Linked DNA regions of Schizosaccharomyces pombe. The gene in region 2 interacts genetically with the main gene of each other region. Each region holds a gene or a part of one and is shown on either strand. Other genes may lie near its edges.

Region 1 (4,065 bases), on a different chromosome or scaffold from region 2:
CACAAAAAAATGAGATGTGTAAGGAAGACGCCCGCGTTTAATTTACTGGAATCAAATTGATGGGAAGAAGTACGCGAGAACAACAGAATCAAGTGTTTACGCGACAAAGAATGATATTTTTTTTAACCCTTTGACTTTATGCAAACAACTTCTTTCTATTTATTATTTTTTTTTTAGAGTCTTAATCCACCTTAGTTCTACTGCATTTAACAATTTCATTTTTAGTTTCAAATTTCTAAATATGTATTTCTATTTTGAGCTCTTATAACAAATGCTCACATGGTCCAGTGGTTAAGACTCATCGTTGTGGCCGATGCGACCCAGGTTCGATTCCTGGTGTGGGCACTTACTATTAAATTTATTTTTGCTAATTCCTGCCCTCTAGTTGGCATCCCAAATAGATCCATTTGAATAAAGATGAACACTTAACTAGAAAAGTAAAACAACCTTTCAACCTAATACTGCTGTACAAAGCGCTTTTATTATTCAGCCAGTATTTATGTATTACCTTTGCGCACAAAATAATTCGTTTACATGTCAACCACAGTAGATATACGTTAATTTTTTAATTTTATTTTTTCTTCTAGCAACCAAAGCACTTTAATAAAATTGAATATTTTTAAAAGCGTTTTCAATTTTTATGCTTTTTTTTTATCATAACAATATAAATTTCATCAAAATAAATATTTTATCGTTTTTTAAAGTACTGATGCCAGTTAAATGTCCGTATCGATTCGTAGAAAACAAAGTGCTTGGGTATAAAATAGTTTGATACGCAACCTCTAAAAATTGTCTAATGCAAAAATCCCACGTAAACGATGAGCCAAAAACTGAGAACTTAAAGCACGACACACATAAATAACTCTAAAGCTTCAAAACCAATGGGACAATGCAAAATGTTGATATGCAAAAGAAATGATGAAGTGAGGGAAAGCCTAGAGCTTCTATGTATTTTAAAAATACGCGCTCAGAAGAACTCAGCATAAAGTTGTCCCAGATGCCAGAGCATAATGTAAAAAGCACGAATGACAAATCTCGAATACAGTTAGACAGTGCAAATAAAATGCGATTGCAGAAAAGAAGTAAGAATAGTTGCGTGACACACCGAAACAAAAGTCCATATCATAAGAATAAAAGAATCGTAAAAAATATCCATCGTATTTCGAAAGAAATAAAAAATGCCATTACGAATTGACGAAAAAGTCCGAGTACCAAATCCACTCATACAATATCGTTATCATAGAAAATCATAAAAAACCCCAATGAAGCCAAACAAACATTGTAATGGAAACATACCATCAACATTGCGTGAACGAATTAAGTTGTACAACTCATGAAATAATGAAGTGCATAAACAAAATATACGCACCAACATCATTTGGAAATTTAAGATAGTATGTAAGGATGCTTGGCTATCAATTTAAGAAACATACACGGTATGAACCGCAAAAATCAATGATCAACTATTCACACACGGTTAGTGTAGTGATCATCATTTAAGAAAGGCATAAAAATTTTTAAGTATCATAATAATTTGAAAAAAAAAACTTCAAGTTATAAGAATTATAAAATAAAAATAGGTTTAAAAAAAGGCACAATTAAATATAAGTACCCATGAGAAATAAAAAATAAAATGGAACCGGAAGATAAAGAAATAAGTAAATAAATTTTCCCAGATTAAACAGGAGAAAATGAAAAAAAAAACCGAGATAGAGAGAAATGAAATATAATTTTTTTGAGCCGTTGGCAATGAATGTGTGTATATCAACGACACCGTCGTTGGAATAATGCAATGTAAGGTAAAATTAAAGAACAGCAAGTCTGGAAGCGACAAAACCGTTCAAAAGAGAAGACGAAGTGGATGGGGAAGGCATGGAAGACCTTCTTCGGAAATGATCTAAATATTGGGAAGATAACATATGAAGATCAGCCGACTTAGAGTAAGAACACTGCTCCGAAGTCGAACCACAGCCGGGGCAATCCTGCAGATGACATTCACGAGAGCAATACAAGTTGCCAGTAGTGGGTTTTCCGCAAATTATGCAATAATCCAAATCCATGTCTCTAACGAATACAAAAGGATGAAGAAATTAGAAAAAGAAAATTAAAATGACTTGTTAACGAGGAAAAACCAATGAATGAGCCAAGCTGAGGCGAGCTAGTATTGGATCCTATTGAAGAAAACCAGATAAAACGGATGAGCGTATAAAGCGGACTAAAAAGAAATTTCAAAGTCGAAATATACGGGACGTTTGGAAGATATTTCCGATTTAGTAGAGGAAGAAGAAAGAAAAGAACTTAGCTTCACAATAAAATAAAACAAATCCTTCTCAATTTCAAGGAAGAGATGAGTCCTGCGGGTGATTCAACAAGACGAAAAGAGGTTAGGATGGAGAAAACGAGGAAAAGTGAGTTCTACTCAATCACACAGCGAAACTGTTTGTCGAGGAAAACAAGAGACACTTAAGAAGGACAGTTCGTTTAGTTCAAGCAATCAAGAACAGCGAGTATAAGTCAAAAACCCTTTGCTGATCTATATGTTAATCTTCTACGACCTCTCAGTCGGACTGCTGCGCTCTATATATACATCTGAAAACTGCGCACGCAATCTGTCCAGATGATCTGACCTGAGATACCATACTATCGGTAAAATACGTTAAGAAAACAGCATACACTGTGTTTGATCTCATAATGCACATCCGACCGACTGCATATGCTAATACATTGCGTGAGTTGCGTACAATGTTACCTCTTCATAATTTGATTACAACACACAAGAGAAGAAAGCAGAACGACTGATGTGGGGGATTTGAGTCGGAAGTGGGAAACCGAGAAAAACACTGTGTGTACTAACTCGCATACTAAATGCACACACAAACGCTAGCTCAGCCGGGGTGTCATATACAATAGTAAAAACACACTACATTTTTTATTTTTTCATTTTAATTCTCGAATACTCTTCTACTCACTTTAAGCGACCTTTCGCATCATATTCTCCGCCTTTAAACCCCAAAAATACATGTGAGAAGACAGTTGTACGCCAGCTCACAACAACATGATGCTGATCGCACATCTTTGGACTGTAAAAAGAGGCACCGATGCAGTCAGTAGCGGAGCAAAATGGAGAACCATGGTGATGATGACTTTTTTTCAACGAGAGATTTAAGGCGATAGGTGGGGTCGAAATATAGCATGTATAAAGATGTGCAGGGCAGGGATGAAAAATTAAACTGACGGTTGGGAATGAATGAGAAAAAAAAGAAATTAGTTTAAATTATAATAAAATAGAATAAAATAAATGGAATTCAATAATAGAGAACTAGAGAAGTAAAAATAAAAAGAGAAAAAATAATAAAACAAAATTTACACATGATAGAGATATAAATATATTTCACTATTAGAGAATGGTTTTACTTTTATATATCTATTTATTTATTTATTTATTTTTTTTCGATTTCTAACGACAAAGTGCGAATCGTTTATTGATTATACATTGTATTTATGATAGTAGGTGAGCAAACAACCGGAACTCGAAAAATATTTGCGAAAACTTGCGTACAAAAAGATGAGTGAATTCTAATAAAATGAAATGACTGTGGCATGATTGATGTTTTGTTTCCCATGTCTCAATGAGTAGCATCAAAATTAATTTTACCTGTTGTCCTTGTGCGACACCCATAGCGGGAGAACTAGCTAAAAAAGAAGTGAAATCTCGTTGTTGTTTCACACATTGTCTTACAATTCCATGGAATGACTTGATTCTGAAGACGGTCGGAAGCAACTTTCTGCCTCGACCGGTAACGTAGAATTCACGTACCATTTACTTATACTCATGTAACCTTGTTGTAAGTGTTTGGGATCTTTGAATCTAACGTTCGCGGGATCTAGCACGTGTTACTCTGTAGTTTGCCACGAAGCAATAACTCCTCAGCAAAGAGCTAGGATGCAACACTCTGCCAACAGTAACAATCACCAACTGTAGTAGCTACTGGATCCGATCCCACCTGTGCTTCCTCTGTAGGTATGCAAAACATCCCACATAGGTACATCTATCCCACATTTTCA
Region 2 (5,602 bases):
TAAAAGATATTGCAAGTGTGTGTCGTTTGACTTATTGACTGGACTAGTCGACGCGTTCATCCCATGAATAGGGGATTTCGCAAACATTTCTTATTGCTTTTAAAAATGGAAGTGCAGTTTTGTTATTACTTTTAAAGTAAAAAAGATGTTGCTGTTATTTCTTTAATGTAAATTAATTATATTTTACTATTTGCATTAACGAAAAACGATGCAATATCTAAATTACTTTTAGGGCACCCCTTATCCTTGCTATGTTAAATCTGTCATGGATGTAATGCTATTGCTATTGCTATTGCTATTGCCAGTGTAATAATAAACCGCGGAGCTGAGTCAGCACTAATAGCGTCATACCCTTATCTCTGCACTTATCGTATCGCTCGCCATCTTTTTTATAATTTTACGAGCGGAGAAATTTTTTGATGCAAAAGATATTTAACGAATCAATACATTGTCTTCTAATCCAATAACTACGTATTCTAAGGATGAATACTTTATAATGGGATTCTATGAGAATATTTATTTCGTTTATATAATCTTATGAAGCATTTCAAATAAGCATAACATGTATCTATTCTCTTGTTCGAAAACCGAGCCAAGGGATCAGGGGTCATTTCTAATGAATCAGGGGACTTCTTTTTCTTTCTCAATTCTTATTTTGTTTCCCTTTGTTGATAATGTAAAAGCCTCGTTTAATTGAGTACAATCAGCAAGTGAGGAATCGGTTTATTTCGCTTTCCTTTTCATAGAAAAAGGGACTCGTCCATCAATGTCCTGGCGTCGTTTATTCAAACTTTGTCATTCGGTGCTTTTTAACAGGCAATTTCCGCTTTTGCTGGTCGATCTGTATGCGTCAAAAGTTTTGTCTGGTCCGGCATCACACGATGTTGACAAAAAAATCATCATCCACTGCAAGGTGTAGTGGGTACACAAAGTTGGGTGTGTATTCCCAAATTCCAATGCATTTTTATAATATGCGATAAGCTCCCATAGCTAATCACTTGTCCTTTAACGTTGAAACTACTGTACACAAAGGTAGACCGCAGCACACACACTTGAGCATTCAAAGTAAGAGCGTCTGCTGGATATTCTTATAGCAAGGTCAATTGTGTTGAATGCATAAAGAGCATCTCTTTTCTGAATGGTTCAACGAGCATATTGCACAGTGGATTCCAATAAAAAAAATAAAGGAAACGTAAACGATCGAAAAAAAAATGCTTTTTAAAAAATCCCGTGTCAGCGTTTATACCAAGGAAATATCGCATAGTGATCCTTTTGCTCTACATACTCCACGCATGCACCATCGATACACTACCAAGAACCGCAGCAACTCAGCCTTATTACTGTGTCATCCATCCCATGTGTTTATTCTTGCTGTGCCCACAGCACGCTTGCACAAACGTATGTGGGACGGTCGTTACGTCTGCGATGATGACTGCCTAGGGAGCCCCGCGCGCTTTAGCCGGTTCAGGAAGAGTTTGGGATAATGCAGTACGATGGTATGCACTATACTAGATTTAACTTTGCAACGTTTCGCAATCGGTGAACAGCATCATCAAGTCAAATCAAGCACCGTAAAGGAGAGAGATCAGTACGAAAGATCCCTTTTCTGGAGGGTAGTGAAAAAGACAGTAATATGCGGGTTTCGCATTGTTTTTGAGGGTTCATTAATTGAGAAGTTTTTGCTGCAATTAACGTTAAAAAATATGTCGAATTTGCATTGCCGATCTCCTGCCGTTCATCGTTTAACCAACGTTGCGTAAGCTAACACGCCCTTGTGAGCATCGGCAAATAGCCACATGGAAGCCTCGAGGGTGTCATATCCACCACACCTCAAAATTTGCAACTCTCCAACAACCAACAACATTGTTGAAAAGGTGAAGATTTTTTGTAAATACGACCGTTTGGTCATATATTAAACGAGAAGATGCCGTCTTCGAACGGATCCTCCGACTTTGTATGTTGGTTCCTTTTTCCGATGAATTTTTTATAATTATAAAATTTCACGTTTCGTGATAAAACTATGTTTTCTCATACTAACGTTGTTGAATTAGGTGCGAAAACTCTTCAACATGTTGGAAGAACCCGAATATAGGCATATCCTGCGCTGGAGCGATTCTGGGGATTCTTTTATTGTGTTGGATGTAAGAAATCCTTGAAAATTTGTTTGCTGGATGTAAAAGAGAGAAGAAAGGAAGAATGAGTTATCATTATATTTATCGCCGCCATTGTTGTTATTTAACCAGAGAAAGCATTCTACTTTTATTGTTTATCCTCGAAAAGCTAGTAAAAGAGGGGAGATTTTTTTTGAAGGTTTGCTAAAAAATAATTTTTTTACTATTCTTGATTTGTTTCCTTTTTCTTTCTGATTACAACTTGAATTAAAAAGGATTGACAATGATGGGAAAGGAATCTTTTGAGGCAGCAAGAGATTCCTATCGCAACAATCGGGTTGTTTTATTACAAAAATCGCTTTTCTTTTTGAAATAAAACAATTCTATTCGTTGTTTTCTTTTTAGTATTACCAATGTTACGCTGAAAAACGTCCAGTTTGCCCGTAAACCTGAGTCGTCGAATTTGCTTTGTTTCCATACCCTAGTACTTTGTCCTTTTTTTTCGCATTGCATCTCGATTTTTTCGAACAGACTTATTCCTTGTCATCATCTTTTTTGAGTAATAGTTTTTACATCTCTTAGAGACCAATTTTATTTTTAGGCCTTACCTTCTTTTTAAACTTTGGCTTTTGACTAGCTATTCTTCTAGTCTTATGTTTTTTTTTCTCTTACGTTTGCATTTTTCTCCTTTCTTTGTCACTCTAATCTACTTTTCCGCATTCAAAATTCCTTTTTCCCCTTTCCCCTTTGTTTCCCTGAGTTTATCACTAACTTACTGCTTTTTAGACCAACGAGTTTACAAAGACCATTCTGCCTCGCCACTTCAAACATAGTAACTTTGCAAGTTTTGTCCGACAACTCAACAAGTATGAGATATTTTTATTTATTTATTTTTTTTTTACACTTGCTAATCGTCTAGATATGATTTTCACAAAGTACGGCACGAAGAAGGCGCGCCGAGTATATATGGTGAAGGGGTATGTCATATGGGTTAAGGATTTAGGGGCTTCATACTTGTTGAATAGGTTTGAGAAACAAACTTGTCTTCATTCCATCATACTTGTAAAAAAGCCATCCCTCCTTTTAGAATTTCTATTATACTAATCATTCTCTTCTTTAGGCTTGGGAGTTTCGTCATGACGACTTTCAGCTTCATCATAAGGACCTGCTCGACAATATTAAGCGAAAGGCTCCGTCCAAGCGCAATTTAGCTAACGAGAACACTGCTCCAGTTATTGAAAACCTAAAACAGCAGGTGGATTCTATATTAGACTTTCAAAAATTACTTGATAGAAATCTTTCGGGTCTTGCCACAAGTTACCAAACGATACTTCTTAAAATGTTTGAACTCAAGCGGGGGATTGAGTCTAGAGATTTGCTTATGAGTAGCATCATATCTTACCTCTGCGATTTAGAGGGATCTACTCAACGGCAAGCTAATCCCGGAGCCATGTTTGTTCCCTCTCATCCTCTCCAGGAGTTATTAAATGCATACCAAGCGTTAGCGAAGGGCCAAGTTGCAACTACTTCTCCACAACAGATACCAAATCAAATTCAACAGGCTTCCGCTGCTACTACCGCTTCTTCAAAGATGACTGTTGACACCAATCTTGGCACAGCACAACCTTCTTTGTATAATACTCCTTCATCTGATTATGAACTGGCAAATCAGGAAAAGCCGGCAGACTCCATGGCCTCTGCCGCCTCTCTAAATACCCCTTTATCATCTAATGACCATTCTTTGAATCCACACGCCCATGGCTCATATCCGATGTACGAAAAATTTCAACCGATTCAGCATCCAAATCCAGGAAGCTTTACCACCCATCTTGACTCCAATGCTTCCATGGCAAAGTCATTTTCTCAAATTTCAAACGATTCCCTTGCCAAAGCTAGTTCAGTAGCAACGTCCATGTCTCAAATGGGCGCTGCTGTTCCAACTACTGGCTTGTGGAAGCGGCAACCAAGGATTTTACTTGTCGAAGATGATGAACTTTCTCGTAGAATGACTATCAAATTTTTAACTTCATTTGATTGCCAGGTCGATGTAGCTGTCGATGGAATTGGTGCCGTAAATAAAGCTAATGCTGGTGGATTCGATCTCATCTTAATGGACTTTATACTTCCTAATTTGGATGGACTGTCTGTAACCTGTTTAATTCGTCAATACGATCATAACACACCGATTTTGGCTATAACTTCAAATATATCGATGAATGATGCAGTTACCTACTTTAATCATGGTGTAACAGATCTATTAGTTAAGCCATTTACAAAGTTGACTCTACTTCAACTTTTAAAAAAGCAACTTTTGAATCTTTTACAAGCGGATAACTCAATTAATATGTCTGATGTTCCCTCCACGAAAGAAGCTAAAGACGATAAGGCTCCTGTGACATTTTACTTAGAGAATGATGCTCCTATGTATCCTCAACAGATGTTACAGGATCCCATTCAAGCAGACTTACAGCATCCACATTGATGGAAAAGTCTTAATGTTATATATTTCTTATTTTTACTATCAGGTCTCTTTTACTTTTGTTTTATATAAAAAACTATCTATCACTTCTGTTTGATTTAGTTAAAGGTTTAATCTTTGGTCTATGTATCTATGTTCTCTTTGGGGTTCAAGTTAAGGCTTTCTTTTCGAAGAAAGGCTTTTCATATCCCATGACTAGTTGTTTAAATTCCACAAATTCCAAACAGTGTCGGAATTGTCTTTCATATCAACTACAACTAGAAACATGTACAGAAGAGACATAATCAATATAACTTTTCAGTTTTTGCATTGTATTTTAGCCACTATTTTCTTCGGTTTGCTCAAATTATATTATCTTCATTCGCTTGTTGTATTTCTTACATTTCAGCTAAAAATATTGAATTCGTCCAACTGATATTATCGTAAATAACTATGCGTGTAATTAACAGAATAGTGCTGGATTTTAACAACGCGCCCTGTAGACCAAAATTTTATTTTTCTTCTCTATCGTATTATTATTTGCTAGAAAATAATAGCCAGCTAAATTATGAGTGACCCTTTTTTTTTGAGTAGACAGAAACCACTTTCATAACACTGTTTTAAGTCAGAGTTCAGGATTTGTAAGGGAACTATTATTCTGACCCTTCTTCACTCTCGCTTTCACTTTCAGCAGTATTCAACCAGTCGACAAATTGTTTGCCACCGGCATCACGAAGCGCAGCCAATTCTCCTTCGCTAGAGCGGGGATCAGAATACCATTCTTGAATGGCATTCTCTTCAGCAATTTCTAATTGGTAGAAATATCCCAAAAGTTGTAAAAAGTGCCGAGTCATACTCAAACGGACACAGTACTTCTGCAGCGTTAATACGTTGTCAACTTGCTCTTCATGGCTAAATGTCAGTTTTGCAAGCAATGGACCCCAACGTGTCATTACTTTTGCTAGTGCCTCCTTGGGGGATACATCTAAGTGCATGATACGCCTTAAAAGAGCAAGAACAATTGCGGATCGCA

The links.
Region 1: of prr1 (region 2) and ecl2, changing one suppresses a phenotype caused by changing the other (phenotypic suppression), as found in Schizosaccharomyces pombe (one study listed by BioGRID).

The regions. Positions count from the first base shown.
Region 1 is NC_003423.3:960,456-964,520, forward strand, and holds ecl2 (protein Ecl2), read right to left. Parts: upstream 2,061-4,065; coding exon 1,806-2,060; 3' UTR 552-1,805; downstream 1-551. Other genes in the region: SPOM_SPBP35G2.17 (uncharacterized protein), read right to left, coding at 3,500-3,820.
Region 2 is NC_003424.3:3,664,083-3,669,684, forward strand, and holds prr1 (stress-responsive DNA-binding transcription factor Prr1), read left to right. Parts: upstream 1-1,849; 5' UTR 1,850-1,924; coding exon 1,925-1,954; intron 1,955-2,051; coding exon 2,052-2,141; intron 2,142-2,897; coding exon 2,898-2,977; intron 2,978-3,030; coding exon 3,031-3,088; intron 3,089-3,231; coding exon 3,232-4,593; 3' UTR 4,594-5,005; downstream 5,006-5,602. Other genes in the region: translation initiation factor eIF2B epsilon subunit tif225, read right to left, coding at 5,223-5,602. UniProt on the Schizosaccharomyces pombe protein: Involved in oxidative stress. Transcription factor that acts upon trr1 and ctt1.